Linked DNA regions of Macaca mulatta. The protein of the gene in region 1 interacts with the protein of each later gene in a biochemical or structural test. Links are inferred from orthologs where the notes say so. Each region holds a gene or a part of one and is shown in the gene's direction. Other genes may lie near its edges.

The links.
Region 2: the proteins of BCL2L1 (region 1) and HRK interact in a biophysical measurement, tested with the Homo sapiens proteins (3 studies listed by BioGRID and IntAct, with this or other methods). The link is inferred for Macaca mulatta from reciprocal best matches to the Homo sapiens genes BCL2L1 and HRK.
Region 3: the proteins of BCL2L1 (region 1) and VDAC1 form a complex in vitro, tested with the Homo sapiens proteins (4 studies listed by BioGRID). The link is inferred for Macaca mulatta from reciprocal best matches to the Homo sapiens genes BCL2L1 and VDAC1.
Region 4: the proteins of BCL2L1 (region 1) and BIK interact in a test that uses a peptide from one of them, tested with the Homo sapiens proteins (3 studies listed by BioGRID and IntAct, with this or other methods). The link is inferred for Macaca mulatta from reciprocal best matches to the Homo sapiens genes BCL2L1 and BIK.
Region 5: the proteins of BCL2L1 (region 1) and SIVA1 form a complex in vitro, tested with the Homo sapiens proteins (2 studies listed by BioGRID and IntAct). The link is inferred for Macaca mulatta from reciprocal best matches to the Homo sapiens genes BCL2L1 and SIVA1.

What each region holds. Positions count from the first base shown.
Region 1 is NC_133415.1:84,545,287-84,549,430, reverse strand, and holds the start of BCL2L1 (bcl-2-like protein 1), read left to right. Parts: upstream 1-1,338; 5' UTR 1,339-1,572; exon of another isoform or gene 1,573-1,770; intron 1,771-1,838; exon of another isoform or gene 1,839-1,856; 5' UTR 1,857-1,968; coding exon 1,969-2,532; intron 2,533-4,144. UniProt on the Homo sapiens protein: Potent inhibitor of cell death. Inhibits activation of caspases. Appears to regulate cell death by blocking the voltage-dependent anion channel (VDAC) by binding to it and preventing the release of the caspase activator, CYC1, from the mitochondrial membrane.
Region 2 is NC_133416.1:124,145,109-124,148,707, reverse strand, and holds the start of HRK (activator of apoptosis harakiri), read left to right. Parts: upstream 1-1,233; 5' UTR 1,234-1,318; coding exon 1,319-1,594; 3' UTR 1,595-1,650; intron 1,651-3,599. UniProt on the Homo sapiens protein: Promotes apoptosis.
Region 3 is NC_133411.1:142,905,580-142,909,869, reverse strand, and holds the start of VDAC1 (non-selective voltage-gated ion channel VDAC1), read left to right. Parts: upstream 1-1,483; 5' UTR 1,484-1,546; intron 1,547-4,290. UniProt on the Homo sapiens protein: Non-selective voltage-gated ion channel that mediates the transport of anions and cations through the mitochondrion outer membrane and plasma membrane.
Region 4 is NC_133415.1:8,345,868-8,348,962, reverse strand, and holds the end of BIK (bcl-2-interacting killer), read left to right. Parts: intron 1-616; coding exon 617-715; intron 716-1,396; coding exon 1,397-1,526; intron 1,527-2,091; coding exon 2,092-2,184; 3' UTR 2,185-2,592; downstream 2,593-3,095.
Region 5 is NC_133412.1:178,193,781-178,197,820, forward strand, and holds the start of SIVA1 (apoptosis regulatory protein Siva), read left to right. Parts: upstream 1-1,238; 5' UTR 1,239-1,298; coding exon 1,299-1,416; intron 1,417-3,623; coding exon of another isoform or gene 3,624-3,818; intron 3,819-4,040. UniProt on the Homo sapiens protein: Induces CD27-mediated apoptosis. Inhibits BCL2L1 isoform Bcl-x(L) anti-apoptotic activity. Inhibits activation of NF-kappa-B and promotes T-cell receptor-mediated apoptosis.

The sequences.
Region 1 (4,144 bases):
GCTTCTTCTATATATAAACTGACGGACGGATGAAATAGGCTGATTGACTGATGACTGACTGACTGACTGAATTAATGAATACATGGAAATGTGATTATAAATGTTGATTTTTTGCGCCTTCCGATTCCCCGGATCTACCGCGAGGGGGCGATCTCTCCCCGGTCCTGATGCCAGTCACTCAAGGCGCGCACTCCCTTTGCGTCTCGGGCTCGCGCGCGTTGCCGCAGCACCGGAAGTGACTGAGCTTGCAAGTTCCCCCGTCTCTTCAGGGGAAACTGAGGCCGGCTTGTTCGGGAGAGACGGCACGAGCAGTCAGCCAGGTAGGCCGGCAGCCAGGTAGGCCGGCCCGGGTCCGCGGCGCGGAACTCGGCCGCGAAGAGCTCTCGCGTCTGGAAGCTACCGGGCCGATGAAGGGGGATGTGGCCCCCCACGGCTCGCGGGGCTCACAGGTGAGAGCGCCGCCTCCCCTGTGCCTGACAGCCGCTGCGCCCAATAGGAGCCTTCGCCGTCCCGCTTCCGTGCCGGCTAGGCTCGCTGATTGGCGGCGCTGGGGAGGACCGCCGGGGGCGAGGCCCCTCCTCCTAGAAAGGTCTAGGGGGCGCCCCCGGGGGAGGGCGGTTGCTTAGCAACGGGGCGGTGGCTCGGCGGGTACCCGGCCTAGTGAGCGCGAGAAGCCGCGAGGCCGCAACCGGCCCACCCTGGGCTCCGGAGAGGTGCAGCCCCCGGCCCCGGAGCCCTCCCGGGGGCGCCAGGAAGCCACTTTGGGCCTGTCCCCAGGAAAACGTGGTCTCAGCTGTGGGGCCGTCGAGCAGGCCTCGACCCCTCTTCCTGACCTGAGGAGAGGCCCAGCGCCTCACCCTCACCCAGTCTTTGTGCAGGGCGCCGGCGGCCATTGTGTCCGGGCGGGGAATGGAGGACCCGGCAATTCCCCACCGCCACGTTCAGGGCCTTTGGGGAATTCAAAGAAAACCAGCGGCATTTGTAGGGGGTCTCCGGCCTTCAACCTCCCAGACAGGCCTGGGGGTGGCCTTCCCAAAGTCAGATCGCAGATCCGAGGCAGTTTCCCCCTCCCTGCGTCCCTCACCGAAACCTTGAACCCCATTGAGAAGTCCCTTCAGGGTTTCGGACGCCTCCACCTCACCCTGGGCTGGTACTTAAATAGAAAAAAGAAAGGAAAAAAAAAAAAACAACTAAATCCATACCAGCCACCTCCGGGAGAGTTCTCCTGGCTCCCAGTAGGAGGCGGAGAGCCAAGGGGCGTGCAAGAGCGAGGGGGCTGGGCTCCCGGGTGGCAGGAGGCCGCGGCTGCGGAGCGGCCGCCCTCGATCCGGGCGATGGAGGAGGAAGCAAGCGAGGGGGCTGGTTCCTGAGCTTCGCAATTCCTGTGTCGCCTTCTGGGCTCCCAGCCTGCCAGGTCGCATGATCCCTCCGGCCGGAGCTGGGTTTTTTGCCAGCCGCCGCGAGGCCGGCTGAGTTACCGGCATTCCCGCAGCCACCTCCTCTCCCGACCTGTGATACAAAAGATCTTCCGGGGGCTGCACCTGCCTGCCTTTGCCTAAGGCGGATTTGAATGTAGGTGGTGCGGGGGAGGGGGAGTGAGGGGGGGACTGCCCAAGGGGTGACTTTCCGAGGAAGGCATTTCGGAGAAGAGGGGGGTAGAAAAGGCTGGTGGGAGATTCAGAGTCCACTGGTGCTTTCGATTTGACTTAATTGAAGTATCTTGGAACCTAGATCCAGACCTTCGTAAGACCCACAAAGAAACCAGTTCTGGTACCTGGAGGGGGAATGGGATGTTTAGGGTAAGTGGCATGCATATTAATTTTTTTTTTTTCCTAAAGCTCTTTCTCTCCCTTCAGAATCTTATCTTGGCTTTGGATCTTAGAAGAGAATCACTAACCAGAGACCAGACTCAGTGAGTGAGCAGGTGTTTTGGACAATGGACTGGTTGAGCCCATCCCTATTATAAAAATGTCTCAGAGCAACCGGGAGCTGGTGGTTGACTTTCTCTCCTACAAGCTTTCCCAGAAAGGATACAGCTGGAGTCAATTTAGTGATGTGGAAGAGAACAGGACTGAGGCCCCAGAAGGGACTGAATCGGAGATGGAGACCCCCAGTGCCATCAATGGCAACCCATCCTGGCACCTGGTGGACAGCCCCGCGGTGAATGGAGCCACTGGCCACAGCAGCAGTTTGGATGCCCGGGAGGTGATCCCCATGGCAGCAGTAAAGCAAGCGCTGAGGGAGGCAGGCGACGAGTTTGAACTGCGGTACCGGCGGGCGTTCAGTGACCTGACATCCCAGCTCCACATCACCCCAGGGACAGCATATCAGAGCTTTGAACAGGTAGTGAATGAACTCTTCCGGGATGGGGTAAACTGGGGTCGCATTGTGGCCTTTTTCTCCTTCGGCGGGGCACTGTGCGTGGAAAGCGTAGACAAGGAGATGCAGGTATTGGTGAGTCGGATCGCAGCTTGGATGGCCACTTACCTGAATGACCACCTAGAGCCTTGGATCCAGGAGAACGGCGGCTGGGTAAGAACCAAGCCCCTTGTGTGTCCCTTTTCTTTGGCCTCTGGTCAGAGATCCCCAACTGCCCTTCTTCTGTATCTCTTTCTGTTAGGTTGGGTGATTGTTGGAGACATTGATAGTTGAGGAAACCTGATCTCATTTCACGACAAGAGGTTAACTCCCTGGAAATATAAATGACCCGGTGCTTCAGAGATCAGGCATCTTTTACCCTGGTCACCCCCATGACTCCACTATTCCATACTTGTGTTCCAGTTTCTTAGCAAAGAAAATTATAGCCTATGTGTTCATTAAGTCCCAAACCTGTGAGGGTAGGAAGTTAGTTTGGTGTTTCCCTTACCGTATACAATGGTTCACACACAAAAGGGTGATGAGTATCAGTGACCCACAGACCTCTCCATCTGTTCCCCCTAGGGGTCTCAGTCCTATCCTGGGCTTCTCTTCTCCAAATCAAGTTCCCTTGGCCGGGCGCGGTGGCTCAAGCCTGTAATCCCAGCACTTTGGGAGGCCGAGACGGGCGGATCACGAGGTCAGGAGATCGAGACCATCCTGGCTAACACGGTGAAACCTCGTCTCTACTAAAAAAAATACAAAAAATTAGCCGGGCGAGGTGGCGGGCGCCTGTAGTCCCAGCTACTTGGGAGGCTGAGGCAGGAGAATGGCGTAAACCCAGGAGGCGGAGCTTGCAGTGAGCTGAGATCCGGCCACTACGCTCCAGCCTGGGGGACAGAGCGAGACTCCGTCTCAAAAAAAAAAAAAAAAAAAAAAAAAAAGTTCCCTTTATTTCAAAGTTTCCGTGTAAGGCACTCTTCTCTCAGACTAGGGCATGGCCACAGGCAGGAGTTCCCACTGGGTTGAATGGCTGAGAATTGTCAGATTTTGGGGCAGTGTAGGCTGTGCAGATTGTGTTTGCACTGCGCCCCCTAAGTTCATTTCCCCCAAAGTGTGTGACTTTCTGCATGGTTGCCTTGTTTGTGGAGCACTTGCTGTGTCACACATTAAGCCCGGGAACTTTGCACCTCGTTGCCTGGGGTCGGTTGGGGAGCTCCAGCTGCTCTGCCTGTTACTTTCCGGCCAGAGCCCTGGGGCCTCTTCACCAAGCACTGTTTGCTGGCAAAGCAAGAACCCAGTCTTTGGGGCTCTGTGGGACATTCAGATTTAGTAACAGACTTCAGATGCAGGTATAAGTCCCTGTCTTAAAACTCTGTCATGTATCTAGCTCCGTCATATAGCTGTGTGACTTTGGACAGGCTGGGTTACTTTCTCAAGGCTTAGTTTCTTCCACTAAAAATGTGGCAAGCTCTCCTTGACTTACAGAGTATTGTAAATCTTGGCAATAATGTGAGCACAGTGACCAACACCAGCAAATTCCCTTTCCAGGGAGGGAGAGTTCTCCTGCTCATCACTGAGCCAGGATGAGGTGGTGGTGAAAGCTTCTTCACCAGTGGTCACTGTGGGCAAGTTTTGCTCTTCAGTGAACTCAGTCCTGGTTTCTTGCTTATTTCCTTACCTAGGGGAGGTGCAAGGTTTATGAGAGGTATTCTATCCCTTCAGAATATGCAGAAAAGCAACAAGCTGTGGAAAATAAGTCATCCATTGAAGGAGCTGAGGTGGAAGG
Region 2 (3,599 bases), on another chromosome or scaffold:
TGTGAGCTCTGACCCCTGACTTTGTTGTCATTTCAACACGCTGTAGGCCAAAAGGGACATTTCTCCTCCTGATCAATTCAGACCAAAACTAAGTTCACAGACTTGAAGAATCTTGGTTATACTGTGCGGTGGGAAGGAAAGAATGGAAGCTTCCTCAGCAGGTTCCAGACTCCCAACTTGGAGCCACCTCTGGACTCATCCCGATCGTCTGAATCCTAAAGTTGTCTGAATCCCAGTCGATTTAAGATCGCAGGTTTCATTCTCCCCCCACAGAATGCTGAGAGCCGCCCAGCCCATCTGAACCGTCACTGGCTGTGACAATTCCAGACGCTCCAGTCTGGAGGTGCACAGGAGTGGCTGTCGGGTTGAAAAAGGAGGAATTAAAGTCCCCCGCGCCCCTCCTCTCGCCGACTCCTTAGGGTATTCACTGCGCATTAAATTGGGATCGTCGCAGAAAACTGTAACCCCATCAGGAAAATAATATTCACAAAGAAAGCAGACAAGAAGTTTCCCTTTAGAAAGCCCCTTGTGAGGGTCTTTTGGGTGTGGGTGCTGGGCAGCGAGAATGCCTCCATCCACGCCCCTCGCGAGCTCAGGACCGACCCATCCAGCCCCCTATCACGCCTACGTCAGGGTTTCTAGCCAGGCGCTGGGGCCGCGTTAGGGTCAGGCTAAATGCCTACAGGTGCCAAGTCAGACCTGAAACGAGGCAAGTTAGGTGTAATCTTGCTCTTCCGTAAGAGTTTGAATCCACCCACCTCCCCCAAACAAAACAACAGCCTCGGAATATTTTTGAATAATGCAGCCGAATTCAGTATCAGCTTCATCCAAAACGGCAAACAAGCCTTCTTCCCTCGCCAAATCGGAACTCGAGCTGAATTCAGGAAAAGGGGAAGGAGAACAACCTTCCCTCGCGCTCCTCGCCTCCGCGGGGGTCCCCTGAGACCCCCAAAGCCCGGGACCTCCGCTGCGGGGCGCCTTCTCGCGTCGCCCCGCGCCGCGCTCCGGGTCTCCCAAACCTCGCGCCCCCTTGCTGCCGGCGCCGCTAGGGTTAAAAGTTACCTCTCGGTTTCTTCTGCCTGCAGCCCCCCCCACCCCCGGGGGCCGGATGATGTAACCCCCCTCCCCGCCCCCCTCCACCATGTGACACTTTAATTAATAATAGCGCCGTCAGCACAACAAACGCACAACACAAGGAGAAACTTGGTGTCCAGGGGAGGCCCCCGGCGGCTGGAGCGCGGCGGCAGCGGGCGCAGAGGCCGGAGGGAGAGGAGGCGAGGGGCGGCCCGAGCGCGGGGCGGGAGCGAGGCCAGCGGTCATGTGCCCGTGCCCCCTGCACCGCGGCCGCGGCCCCCCGGCCGTGTGCGCCTGCAGCGCGGGTCGCTTGGGGCTGCGCTCGTCCGCCGCGCAGCTCACCGCCGCCCGGCTCAAGGCGCTTGGCGACGAGCTGCACCAGCGCACCATGTGGCGGCGCCGCGCGCGGAGCCGGAGGGCGCCGGCGTCCGGCGCGCTCCCCACCTACTGGCCCTGGCTGTGCGCGGCCGCGCAGGTGGCGGCGCTGGCGGCCTGGCTGCTCGGCAGGCGGAACTTGTAGGAACGCGGGGCTTCTTGGTGGGGCCGGAGCCGAGACCCAGCCGGAGCAAGCAACAGGTACGCGAGCGAGCGACCGAGAGCCAGGGCGCGGCAGCTGGGCACTGGCCCGGGAGCGGGAGAGTGGCAAGTTTGGCTTTTTTCTCTTCCCTTCTCCTTCTTCCTCCGTTCTTTTCTCTTGCAAGCATCTCCGGCCCCCCTCTCCTACCCAGTCCCCAGTCTTTCCTTCCAAGTGTCAGGTCCACCATTTCTGCCCCTATCTCTCCGAGTCCTTAAGCGCATCTTGCTACTCACTTATAGCTCGGTGGCTTGAGGAGGACTTCAACCTCCATAATCCCCACCAGCCCCACAAATAAACACACAATGCAAATAAAAAGTGTGCCTGCGATGAGAATATAGTTGTAAGCCACGCCAAATACTTAAAGTCTATCGCAGTTCCAAGAAAGGTCCTCGGTCCCCTTCCAAGCCTCTTGCTGTTCCTGAGTCGCCACCGTCTCCATCACCTTTGCTCCCAACCTCTTCTCCCTAAGTGTCACTTCTCCAATCTCTGATCCCCATTCTCTGGCACCGCAAGCGCATCTCGAGACTTCCTCCCCTTCCAGGTTTCTGGCTGGCCCAATCTTTCTTCCCAAGCTCCGCGCATTTGCAGTTTTCTTCTGCCCTGCCAACGTCGCTCCTTCTCCAGTGAGGTGTCCTGTTTAAGGAGTTTGGCTTCCTTCTCTCCAGACGGTTGTAGCTGCGATGGGAAGGAGACGCCTTCGGAGTGGGCTGGAATAGAAGGCTTTCAGGCAAACTCCAATGGGAAGCCTTAAGGAAGGAACATTTATTGAGCTCCTTCGGGGTGCTGGGCACTGTTTAGGGGGGTAATGCTTTGAGAACTTAGGACGGGAAGTGGGTATTGAGCGCCTAGTGTGGTCGGTATCAGTGGGAGGAAGATACTAGGTTCTTGGGGTGGGGGAATTATTGTGCCCTAGCTGTGCGCCTGGCACTGTGCTAGGCGCTTTGAGGAAGCGCACAGTGTAAGCATCGTCTTACTACTCTGGATCCTGGAGTAGCGAGGAGCGCTGCAGAAAATGAGGGAGAATCAGGCTGAGCCCACCATAGATGAGTCTAGGGCCGGAAGGTGAATATCAAAGGTGACATAGCCAGCCGCCATTGGGTCCCCGCCGCCGAGCCCCGCCGCGCGCCGCAGACACCCTGGGAAGTTGGAGCGGCGCCCGAAGGCGAGGCCCGAGCGTCTGCGCCCGCGGGGAAAGGCGGCAGCCGGAGCGTGGGGGGTGGCAGCGCCCAGGGAGCTGCGGGGGTGCGCGGGGTGTGAGCCGGGACCGCAGGCGACAGATGTCGCGTGGGCCCGCGCAGCCCGGGCGCTGGCAAAGAGAAGTGCGCACTTCGGGGCGCTCTCCGCTCGGCTCCCGGGCGCCGGGGGTCCCATCCACTTCTCCCCGCCTTCTCCCTTTCCTGTTGGAGAGGCTGGGAGCTCCCGCGACTGAAAGGGGTCAGGCTGAGGCTGCCCAGTTCCAGGGACGGGAAAAACATTTTAGATCTATCGCGGGGAGCAGAAAAAGGAAGTTGAGCGACAGACGCGAAGTCCAAAGCGTGGAATTTGGGAAGAGGCAGAAGAAAAAGTGGGTGAAGAGGGAGAGAAAAAACAGGCGACGAGATGGGGAGGGACAAGAAGTTTGGGGAGGATAGAGAAAAAGAGAAACTGCCTGGAAAACAAGTTGCAAGACAATTGAAAAGTGAATGAGAAGGAAAGAGAGGAAGGGAGTAAAATCAAATAGCACTGTGGAGAGGGCTGGGACACGTCTTTCTCTGGTTCTGTTGTCCAGGAGACTGGATAAGCGCTCCCCTCCTGGGACCAGGCGTGCGGGATGTCGGGTGCACCCTCCCGGGAGGCGGAGGATTCGGGCCGGAGCCTGACTGTGTTCCCGTTTACCGGTGTGTTAAGTGTCAGGGATGGGACCGCTCCCGGGGCCTGGAAGGGGAGGCTGCGGGAGGGGCGGGCAGAG
Region 3 (4,290 bases), on another chromosome or scaffold:
AATCCGTCCTACACTCCCTAGGATCTTGAAGGAGGCTCTTCTTTACATTCCCAGTCACCCCTCCCCCAGCTCCTACACAGGGCCTAGGCACCCTGTCTGCACCCCACTTCCACTCTGTATCAGCTGCCATGTTCCTCAGCACCCTATCCCACTGAAACAACTTTTCTAACTCAAGTCGCCACGTTCACATTTAATCTGCCGTCTCTTTCCAGCAGCCAGTCCTGATTGCCTCCTCCGCAGCCCCAGTTGCCTACTGCTTTAGCTAGTGTCGCTGCTGGCTGTGAGGAGTGTCCTGATTCTGTAACCCGGCACCTCCTCCACAGGGCCCTAGACGCCTGAAGCATTCGAGGACGTTTGTTGATCAAAGGCGAAGGGTGTGCAGAAGCTTCGTCCATCTACGAATTAATTCTCGAAACCCGCTTCAAGTGGGCCTCGCGCGGAACACAGGGAACACTCAGTGGTGAACGAGACCACTCGCTTAGGCCTAGCAAGGAGAAGGTGACCGTTCACTCAACACATACTAACTGGGTCCCACAGGAGCACAGGCCCCGGCTGGTCGCGTGTTCCCCGCGGTGCCCTCAGCCGGCCGGCCGGCCAGAACCGGCGTGATTTCCTCGCGCCGAGAGACCCAGCAGGAGCCTCGCAAAACCCAATTCACGTTTTATTTTATTATTTTGCCTCTCGAATGCATGGAAATTGGCTGTTAGTAGCTTTGCTACAGGAGAAAATCGCTAATCTGCGGTGCAAAATCGGCACACAGGGGTTTTCTCCGCGATTGTCTAGACGCCATGCGGGCGGGTCGGAGGCGCCAGACACATTGTATCCGGAGCGCGGAGCTCTGGAGCAACAGTCGCCGCTGCTACTCAGTATCTGCGCCGCTCCCAGCGCCCAGTGTCCGCGCTGGGCCTGAGACTGACCTCGGGGGATGGGGCCCACCCGGGCTTTGATGGGGGGCCGGGGGTCACTTCGTCCACCCAGGCAAGGCTCGAGTCCAGCGCCGGCCACATCAACTCCCGGGGGATCTAGCAGCGCGGAGGCCGACCAGGAGGCCCAGAAGCCCCGCGCGTCTTCCATTAGCGCAGGGACCTCGGGGCCACCGCTCAGAGAATCAGAAGGCCTCCTCCCCCTTCCCGAGCGCTGCCACTGGGGCCGAGGTTTCCAGCAAGAACCCGCGTGTCCCTGCGCACGCACACACGGTGCACACGTCAATACCGCGCCTCCCCGTGCCCGGGCTCACGCAGGTCCTCCCGCGCGTCCGCAACGCGCCCGCAGGCTACCGTGTCTGCTGCCGGGGCCGCGGGGCCCGGAAGGGTAAGAACGCGACTCGCGAGCTGGACGAGGACCCCGGCCCGGCCCGGACGCTTTCCCGGGCGGGGCCTGGGGGCGGAGCGCGCCGGACCCGGCGCGCGAGAGGGGAGGCGGGTCCGCGCCGCCGCCGTCCGCGCCGCCCCGCCCTTGGCCCCGCCGCTTGCTCGGCTCCGCTCCCTGCGTCCGCGCCGCAGCCCCCGCCGTAGCCGCCTCCGAGCCCGCCGCCACCGCCTCTGAGGTAGGCGCAGCGGAAAAGGACCCTGGCTCCCTTGCGCCCTGGACGGCGGGGGCCGGGCCCCTGGGGAACTGAGAGGGAGGCGCTGAGGGAGGAGCGGGCGAGGGGCCTCGGGAGTCCGGCCCCGGGGAGGGAGCCCGAGCGGCTGGCGCGGGCCTGGCTGGTTAGCTGGCGGGCAGAGAAGGCCGCGCAGGCGGGCGCCGAACGGGTCCGGGCTGGGGACCGCGAGGCCGGGGGTCCGGAGACGCTTGCGGCTGGCGGCGAGAGGCGTCCCGAGCTTGCGGGCGGAAGGGCAAGGGCGGCCGCGTGGAGGCCCGGCGGGCCGCGCGTCTAGGTGACCTTCCCCGGCGGCGCCCTCTGGCCCTGGATCCCACCAGCGTGGATCCGGCGGGGACCCGTTCGCCGCCCACGCTCGCTGGACCAGGCCAGCAGGCTGGTGCCGGCCACGCTGCCGCCGCGGGGATGAGCTCACGTGACGACCGTGGCCCCGCGTCCCCAGGCCCACGCGTCGTGGCCGGCCCACGCCCGCAGAAGCTGGCGCCCGGCACCGCCCGCCTGTGCCAGAGCCTTCTAGGGCGGAACCCGCCGGCCGAGAGTCGACTTAGGCCGTAGAGGCCGGAGCTCGGGCCTGGGCTGGAGGTTTGGCCTAGGAAAAGGAGGCCCCACGGGGAAGGATGTGGCCTTCTTGGCCTTAGGAGTGATTCCTGGTTCGGTCGTTCATTCATTTGCCAAACGCGGAGGTGCATTTGGGAGCCTGACGTTGGATCAGAGGCCGGCAGTCCTAGTCATTTGTACAAGGTCACACAGCTGGGAAGATCGCAGACCTTCGTTTTCTCATCTGTAGGATGGGAGCAATTATACCTCTCCTTCGTTGAGTTTTGGGGAAGAATAAAATGAATTAATTAACATGAAACCTTTAGAACAGTGCCGGTATGGAGAAGGGCTAAGTAGAAACCCTGACACCCTTGGGGCTTTTTGGGTGAATCCAGCCCATCCCCTGCAGACCATTTTGCTACACGTGGCGTTGTGGAAAGGGTTCAATAAATGTAGCTCCTGTTTTTAAGCATTTTTGCACTATTATTGACAAGCATTTGTATACCAGGTATTGAGTAACTTTCACGTTAATTTATGAAAAGTGTTGTAAGTTTACAGATGGACATTGTCAAGCTCGAGCAGTAAGTTTGCATGTGGAGACCTTGATTGCAGGAGCAGACCCTGTTTTAGAGGCCTGATCGGTCCGGGGTCCCTGTCCCCTTGACTAGCCTCTCCTCTCCTGGGGAGATAAGGGAAAGGGCTCCTCTGTTGCCTAAACTTCTCCACTGAGGCAGGGGAAGACCAGGGCAGACTACCGAGGGCCTGCCTGCATTCTGCCCACCCCAGCTCTGGACCGACTCAGCTCTTAAGGGTCAGACTGAGGCACTGAGGCCCTGTGCTACTTTGTCTTCAGTGCCTGGCGTGATGCTGTTTGGCACACAGTAGGTGCTTGAGAAGGGTCTGTGGGGGTAAATGCACTCTTGTATCAGAATCCACCCACCTTTATTGACAGAGTTTTACTATTTCAGTACATGGTACATAGTGGGTGCTTATTAGGTATTTGTGGAATTTTTGAATGGGCATGTGAAGGGCTGCAGGCCCAGACCATAGTCCTTTGATCCTAAACGTTTTTTCTTTTTCTTTTTTTTGAGACAGGGTCTTGCTCTGTTGCCAGAGTGCAGTGGCACCATATTGGCTCATGGCAGCTTCTATCTCCTGGGCTCAATCAATCCTCCCACCACAGCCTCCCAGAGTATCTGGGATCCCAGGCACACACTACCACGCCTGTCTAATTTTTGTATTTTTAGTAGAGTGGGGTTTCACCATGTTGGCCAGGCTGATCTCAAACTCCTGGCCTCAAGCAATCCACCCACCTCAGCCTCCCAAAGTGCTGGGATTACAGGTGTGAGCCACCATGCCCGGTCCTGGACATCGTTTTGAGGGACACACACATCTCACTTGTGGAAAACAGCCTCACCTAGAAGAGAGTCACAGATATTTAAAGAACTGTAACAGACTGTATAGTCTCTTGAAATAAGTGCTTTAAACACATTGTCTTCATTCTCTGGTTTTCCAAGTCCCGAGGGAAACTTGTTGAACTGGTGTTTCTGGGCTTGCAGGGCGGGTGACGTGGGTGATTGGGATTCTACAGAAGGTGTTGGGTCTGTTACCCCTTCCCTCGTGGTGGGTGGATGGACAGCTTATGCTGGGGTTGTCCAGAGTAGGGTGCCTGCCTCTGGGTAGTGGGGACTACTCATTGTTGATGATTTAGTTTTATTTCTGCTATTCTAGAGTGGGGCTGTAGGCAGGGGTTATTTGTAGCATAGAAAGTGGGAGACCATACAGGGATGAAGTGCCTGTGGGCCCCTGGCCTTGCTGAACACTAGGCGAGTGTGGACAGTGAACATGTTGGGGTGGTGAAGGGCCTCCACCCTCCACCCTTACCAGGAAGATGCTCCTGAAGCACTGAAGTCCACTTCGCCCTGATGGAATTTCCCATGGTGCAGTGTCTTCAGTGGTAGTGACAGAGAGGCGCATGTATGGCTGAGGACCAGCCCAAGCCTGGAGGCAGCACCTCCCAGTGCTCCAAGATTCTGTAGTCTGCGGCTTTGGGTTTTCCATGGACTCCTGTGGTAGCCACTGAGAAAAGGTGACCAGTGGGCTTCTCAGCTGGGTCTGGGCACATTTCTCCATTTTACCGCGTACTCAGGGGA
Region 4 (3,095 bases), about 76 Mb from region 1:
TTAGTCCCCCCATTCTGAGAGTGGTGGTGCCAACAAGGCTGGTTTCAGGATTGGGAACCAGGACACAGGTCTTAGAGCCCCCTCACCTCCCACAAAGGAAGGTAAGCTGCAACCCCTGTGGGAAGCCAGCCTCAGCCATCCAGGGCGCTCAGCACTCCCCAGACCTGCCTGTTCCCCTTGTCCACCGTTTCCACCAAAGCCCACAGGTGGGCCTGCCCCAGGATTCTTCAGGGAAGTTCAGAGACCGAGTTCTGGATGTTCAGGCATCCCTGGGTGCACGGGCAGGCTGCCTCAGGAGACTCACCTGCTGCTGACGCTAGTGGGCAGTCACGGGCACAAGAAGGCCTGGGACTCGCCACGCAGGCAGTGCTGCTCCCTGGTGTCTCTGGCACCTCTGGGGCCACCCACGGATGGGACCTCGCGGGTATCTCTGAATCCAAGTGGGAGCTGGAGGAGGGATGCAGGGAGGCCCGCTCAATGCCTGCCCCGAATCTGACACCATCTTTTATCCTCTGGGCCACTCCCAGCCACACACAATCCATTGGCTGGGTGGGTCCAGGTACATGTGGCTTCCACAGCACAGCCACACCCCGACTCCTACGTGTGCTCCCTGCAGTGACATGTTGGCCCTGCGGCTGGCCTGCATCGGGGACGAGATGGATGTGAGCCTCAGGGCCCCGCGCCTGGCCCAGCTCTCTGAGGTGGCCATGCACAGGTAACCGGCCTGTGCCCTGCCCAGGCCTCTATACCTGGGGAGGGGCCCTGGGCGGTGGGTAAAGGCCCTGAGTGCAGCATAGGGCTGGGCAATGTGGGGAAGCCCTGTGGGGAATGTATCCTGACACTCTGGGGCTGTACCGAAACCCTTTGCTGCTTCCCGCACCTCCCTGGGAGCCCCCAGCTCCTGGCACTGGCCCCCTGCCACCTGTCCCTGGCATTCCTGGGCAACAGACAAAGCAGAGCCCAGGGCCCTTCTCTCGCCATCCTCATCAAGCCCAGATGGTACATTTCCACCATGGTCTTTAAAGGAGGTGCAACGTAAGCTCGGATCCTAGACCCTGAGGGCTGGGCCTCTCAGCTAGTCTCCGGTGGGGGAACAGAGTGGGCAGTGGCTTGCCAGGGCCCTGTAGAATGGGGGTTTATTTTCTATGTGGCCAGCTCCGGAAGACAGGGACACTGGCAGGCGGCTGGCTGGGGAAGGAAGCAGGAAATCAGAATGAATTTCACCACAAACAGGCCCCTGCAGGTGAAGGTGCCCATGGAAAGGGCCCCGCGTGGCTGTGGGGTGGGAGGGCACAGGCCCCTGCTCCCCACAGCTGTGATGGTGTCATCTAAGTACAGGCTGTCCCTACCTGTTCCTGCAGTAATGGCTTTGTCCCCCCATCCTCTTTGTCTGTAGCCTGGGTCTGGCTTTCATCTACGACCAGATGGACGACATCAGGGATGTTCTTAGAAGTTTCATGGATGGTTTCACCACCCTTAGGGAGAACATAATGAGGTTCTGGAGATCCCCGAATCCCAGGTCCTGGGTAAGAGCCTTAGAGATTCCTGACCCTGATTTGCTCTGCGGCCAGTGGGGGCTGTCAGAGCTGCTCCTCAGGGCGCCACAGTCCCCATCACTCCCTGTCATCTGCTGTGTCATCATTGTCCACATCCGCCTGGTCCCATAGGCTTCTGAGTTTGGGATTCCTGGTTATGAGTGCACAAACCAGTGCGTGGTCCTGGGTCTCCCTCTGGCCCGAGAGCCTTCACCTGGCAGACAGGATTCTCGTCTCCTCGCCAGGGCAGAGGCCTCCCTGAGCAGCCGTCCTGGCAGCCTGGTGCCACTCTGCACTGCCCACCACCAGGGCAGCTAACCGCCCTGACCTGTGTCCACCCTTTGCCTGTGTCCCACAGACTGGCAGCCGCTGGCCTCTTTGGCCATGTCCTCAGGGCCACTTTCCCCCTCTCCTGAACTCCTTCCTTCTCTGGTTCCCTCGAGCTGCTTCCCAGTCCCCACCTCCCTGGGCTTCCCCTTGGAACTCTGCTGTCACCCCGTCTGGCCTCATTGCTGGGGCCTGCTCCGAGCCTGACTCCTCTGTTTTACTCCCGCAGGTGTCCCGTGAACAGGTGCTGCTGGTGCTGCTGCTGCTGCTGGCACTGCTGCTGGCGCTGCTCAGCGGGGGCCTGCACCTGCTGCTCAAGTGAGGCCCCAGCGGCTCAGGGCAGGGCTGGCCCCACCCCTGTGACCACTGCCCTGGAGGTGGCGGCCTGCTGCTGTTGTCTTTTTAACTGTTTTCTCATTATGCCTTTTTATATTTAAACTCTGAGATAGTGCTGGAACACTGCTGAGGTTTTATACTCAGGTTTTTTGTGTTTTTTTAAATTCCAGTTTTCGTTTTTTCTAAGAGATGAATTCCTATGGCTCCGAACTTGTTGCCGGTTAACTGTGGCTTGTGCCCAGGAAGAGCCATTCACTCCTGCCCCCGCCCACACGGCAGTTAGCAGGGGGAGTGCTGGCCACACCCCTGTGTGATGTGTGATGCCCTTGGCAAAGAATCTACCGGAATAGATTCCAAGGAGCAGGAGTGCTCAATAAAATGTTGGTTTCCAACAGACTCTGGTCCTCTCTGGGAGTTGGCAGTACCTGCACAGGCTTCCTCTTGCCCCAGGGAGGCGCACCGTGTTGGTGGGGAGGGCAGGGCCTGTGTGTTCCTAATCAGATCCTTCCCTGCAGCCGGGGACCACAAATGCCGTCTTGGTTTGGCCCAACGGTTTGCCTTCTCCCTTGTCCTGGTCTGTGGCGTAAAATCCACTGTTGGGGGTTATTTCCTTTGGGCTTTCAGTTCCTGTTTAGGGGATGCCTGTCTCTCCCTGCACAGACTTCCAGCCAGAAGGACGCAGCCGTGGCTGTTCTACCAGAACAGAGCCCCTCACTCTCTGGCACACAGTAGGCACTCAATACATATGTCTTGGGTATGTCAACAAATGTGGGACTCTGTTTCCCAGCTGTCAAGTGAGGGGGTGAACAAAACTGCCAAGGCCAATTGGGTTCTACAACCTTTCAGATTTGTGACCAAGGAGCCCTGGGGGGCAGGCTGGCGGTGGAGGAGGGGCTC
Region 5 (4,040 bases), on another chromosome or scaffold:
GTGCGCTGCCTCCGAGGGGGTGCGGGCAGCTGCGCCGCGGGTGTCACGCGGGATGGGTTTGCAGGGTTCCAGGCGTCAGCTCCTCACACGGGAGGCGGCGCCGACCGAGCCGCGAGGAGAACATAGTCCAAGGTGAAGCCCACGCCACAGGACGCGTCGGTTCTGCACCCGCCGGGCAGGGGAGAGCCGCCTCTGGTGAGCAGAACCCCGGAGAAGGGACGACGCGGGTGCACCGCGCGGCCTGGGGACCCCAAGTCAGACGACCCCGCTGTGCAAGAACATTTTCCACACACCCCCGCCCGGGGGCGCTCGGCAGCCGCACGCGGCCCTCGGAGCGCAGCCCCCACACGCCTTTACTTCCGGAAGGCGGGGACCGCCACAGCGAGGAGCTAGACCAGCCGAGGCAACAGAGCGAAACCCCGTTCCTACCCAAAACCGAAAAGCGGAGCGCGGAGGCGCGCGCCTGCGGTCCCAGCTACCCGGGAGGCAGAGGAGGGAGGATCGCCTGAGCCCGGAAGGCGGAGGCTGCAGTGAGCCGAGACTACCACAGCACTCCAGTCTGGGTGACAGAGCGAGACCCTGTCTCTAAAAGGAAAAAAGAGCTAGGAAAAAGCGGACTGCCCCTTAACTTCGGAGAAGTAAATGAGGAACTATAACCAGTGTCTACTGTTTAGGCATCAAACAAAAGCTGACAGGAATCCCGCCACCGACCCGGCCGTCCCCTGGCCAATCCCGCGCCGTTCCTCAAACTAGACCCGCTCCGACGTCGCCCTGGCGTTTCCCACGCCGATCCTCAAACGAGGCCCGCCCCCGATGCACAAGCTCCGCCCCTTAAACGCACCGCCCTTGCTGCACCGTCCTGACCCTCGGCTTCACCCGCTGGCTCTTCCCGCGCAGCCGAATGCCGCCCCTGACCTGGTTCCCAGCCTACCTCGCTTCGCACTGCATAGGAACCCCGCCCCTAGACTGTCCTCCCGCCTATCCTGAGCCGCGTGCGCACAAATCCCTCCCACAGACCCGCCCACCCTGATCCTCAACCTGGCCCCTGGCCTTTCCCGCGCGGTCGAATCCAGTACACCGGCATATGAGTCCCACCCCCGATCTCGTCCTCCGCCTATCCCGCGCCGCTCCGCGCAGGAGCCCCGCCCCCCACTTCACCCGCAGCCTATCACGCGCCGCGTCGCTTCCTCTGCCTCAAACCCGCTCACGCCCGCGGATGGGCGCGCGGCTGTGACGTCACTGCGTCGTTGGTAAGGGGCTGGCGGCCGGGGGGCTGCGTAGCTCCCGGCCCCGAGGCAATGCCCAAGCGGGGCTGCCCTTTCGCGGACGCGGCCCCGCTACAGCTCAAGGTCCGCGTGGGCCAGAGGGAGGTGAGCCGCGGCGTGTGTGCCGAGCGCTACTCGCAGGAGGTCTTCGGTGAGTGCCGGAAGGGCTGCCGAGGGTCCACTGCGTCGGGGCCTGGAACGGGCCGGGCCTCAGTGTCTCCTCTGAGGCCTGAGCGGGGGGCTCGAGGGCCCTGCTTTCTGGCCGCGGTTACACAAGCTGGCCACGCCCAGGGCTGGAGTCAGTGAGGGGGATGTGAGGACCCCAGCGTTCACCCACCTTGTCCAACAACCTGAAAGAAGAGGGTCGCTGCCCTTAGTCCCCGTGCCCTCTTCCACGATCCCAGTTAGTCGCCGCCCCTCAGTGAGCGGCAGCTGCCTGGTGCTTCTTCAGGACTGTCCCGTGCAGGATGCCCTGGGAGAGGTCGGGGAGCGGGGCGTCCTGCATGGAGTTAACCTGAAGAGTGCCCCTCCTGACCCAAGAGGTATTCATGGAGCGCGCCGCCCCTGCCAGGCACTGCGGCTGTCCTGGGAGACCAAAGGCGGGCAAGACAGATGTGTCCCGTCTCCCGGGAGCTCCCCAACCTAGTTGGGGAGACCAGCAGGAGAAGGAATCGCCACAGGTGATCCGGGCAGGCACAGGTTTGTGCAGTCGCACCTGCAGGGACGGCATGGAAGGCTTCTCGGAAGAACAGAGTCTGAGCCGAATCCTGTGGGGAGAGTGCGAGTTAGCCAGGCAGAGGCAGGGACGGAAGAGGCCGAGGCAGAAGCCAGGCAGCAGGAGAGCGAAGTAGGACTCCGTGTGGCTGGAATGTCCAGTTCTGGGTGGGATGTGAGGGCAGTGAGCTCCCAGGCCTTCTCTGGCTTTCTCCCTTGGATTTCAGGCGTGTTGGTCTTATTGATCATCACTCTGACTGGGATGATTAATACCCTGGGGCAGGTGCAAAGTGGAGCTTACCTTGCCTAGTGGTTGGGGCACAAGGTCTGCACCTGTAGAGCCGTTAGAGGATGACCCGGGGGGTGTGATTTGTCTGGTGCCGCTTGTGCCTTGGGGATGAAGGAAAGACGCTTCCTCCCGAGGTTCCTGTGTGCCGTGTCTCCAGTGTGCTAGGGCTGTGCAAGCGAGTGCTATCCCGGGCCATGCGGAGTTAAGAGGAATGATGCCATGGGAACTGTGGCTGGACTGCAGGCGCCTGCCCTCTCAGGACAGTTGAAAAATTCAAACACTGTGCAGGCAAGAAAGGAAGATGGAAACCGGGCCTGGCTCAGTCTGGCTCTTTACTCTTTACAAAGTAGGTAAATGCAGGACACCTACTTTGAACTGTGTGACAGTTTCCAAATTCCAGGCCACAGCTGTCACCCTGATCTCTTAACCTCGAATTGTCCACAAGGCCTTAAGGACAAGGATTAGCCTCACCACATGTCTGTCCCATTCCTTTCCCATTATAGATGGGGGAAGGTATGGGGGGCCAGGAGGAAGAGGTGCAGGGTGTTGTGGGCTGGCATCAGCTACTCCATTTGAGTTACCCACTATTATTGCTGCCCATTTCATGTAAAGCCACATAGAGTTTCTGGGATCTCTGCCTTTACTGTGTTATAATGAGGTGGGAAAAAAAAAGCAAAAACAAAGCATTTCTGGGTCTGGTCCTGGGCATCTGATTTTTGGAACCTCCCCCAGTGACTGAACTGTGGCCTGATGGAAAATCACTGCTCCCAGGGATGGGTGGGTATTCTAGAACGAGATCTGGAAGGTTCTGGGATGCTTGTCTTGCCAGCAACTCTGTAGCAGGCGAAGGGGGTGTGCGCTGGCCAGAGGCTGCAGGCCCAGCTCCAAGCTTCTGGCTGCTTCCTTGGCAGTGACAAGCTTTGTGAATTAGTGCTCCACAGTGCAGAGCTCCCTCTGTGCATTCCACAGAGCCTGCTTTCCAGGTGAGGAGTGCTGGGGAAGCAGAAAAGGGAGAAAGGGGAACAAGCTCAGTGAGGCAAGGCCGGCCGTGAGTTGCCGAAAGTGAGCAGAGTGATAGGAGAGGGAACCCTTGCATCAGGCACAGGTGGGGCTGCAGGGCCTGAGCCTTCCTGGAGGAGATGACAACTAAGCCAGGTAAGGAAGGGAGGCACGAGCATTCTCAGAGGCAGAGCAGGACCCAGCTCGCCAGGGCACAACACAGGCTGGGGTCACTGGGTGACAGAGGGCACACAGGAGGACGATGGGGTTCATGTGAGGCTGGAAAGACTAAGTGGCCATGCAGGGGCTTCGTTGGTACACAGTGAAGGATGTGAGAATGATTTGTCTTCCCCCAGAGAAGACCAAGCGACTCCTCTTCCTCGGGGCCCAGGCCTACCTGGACCATGTGTGGGATGAAGGCTGTGCCGTCGTTCACCTGCCAGAGTCCCCAAAGCCTGGCCCTACAGGGGCGCCGAGGGCTGCACGTGGGCAGATGCTGATTGGACCAGACGGCCGCCTGATCAGGAGCCTTGGGCAGGCCTCCGAAGCTGGTGAGTGGCACCAGCAGCCCTTCGTGGCTGTGGCACTGAGAGCAGGTGGTGGCACAGGCACTTTTCTTCATTTGCAAGCTCAGGCTTTTCCTCCCTGGGGAAGCAGGAGTCTGACCTAGAGCTTGGCCTTCTGGCTCAGAAGGCTCCTGTTATCAGGAGGTCTCACATTCAAGACTGGAAGTGATTAAATAGTTTCTAACTACTGGGCCAGAAAAGCAGCAG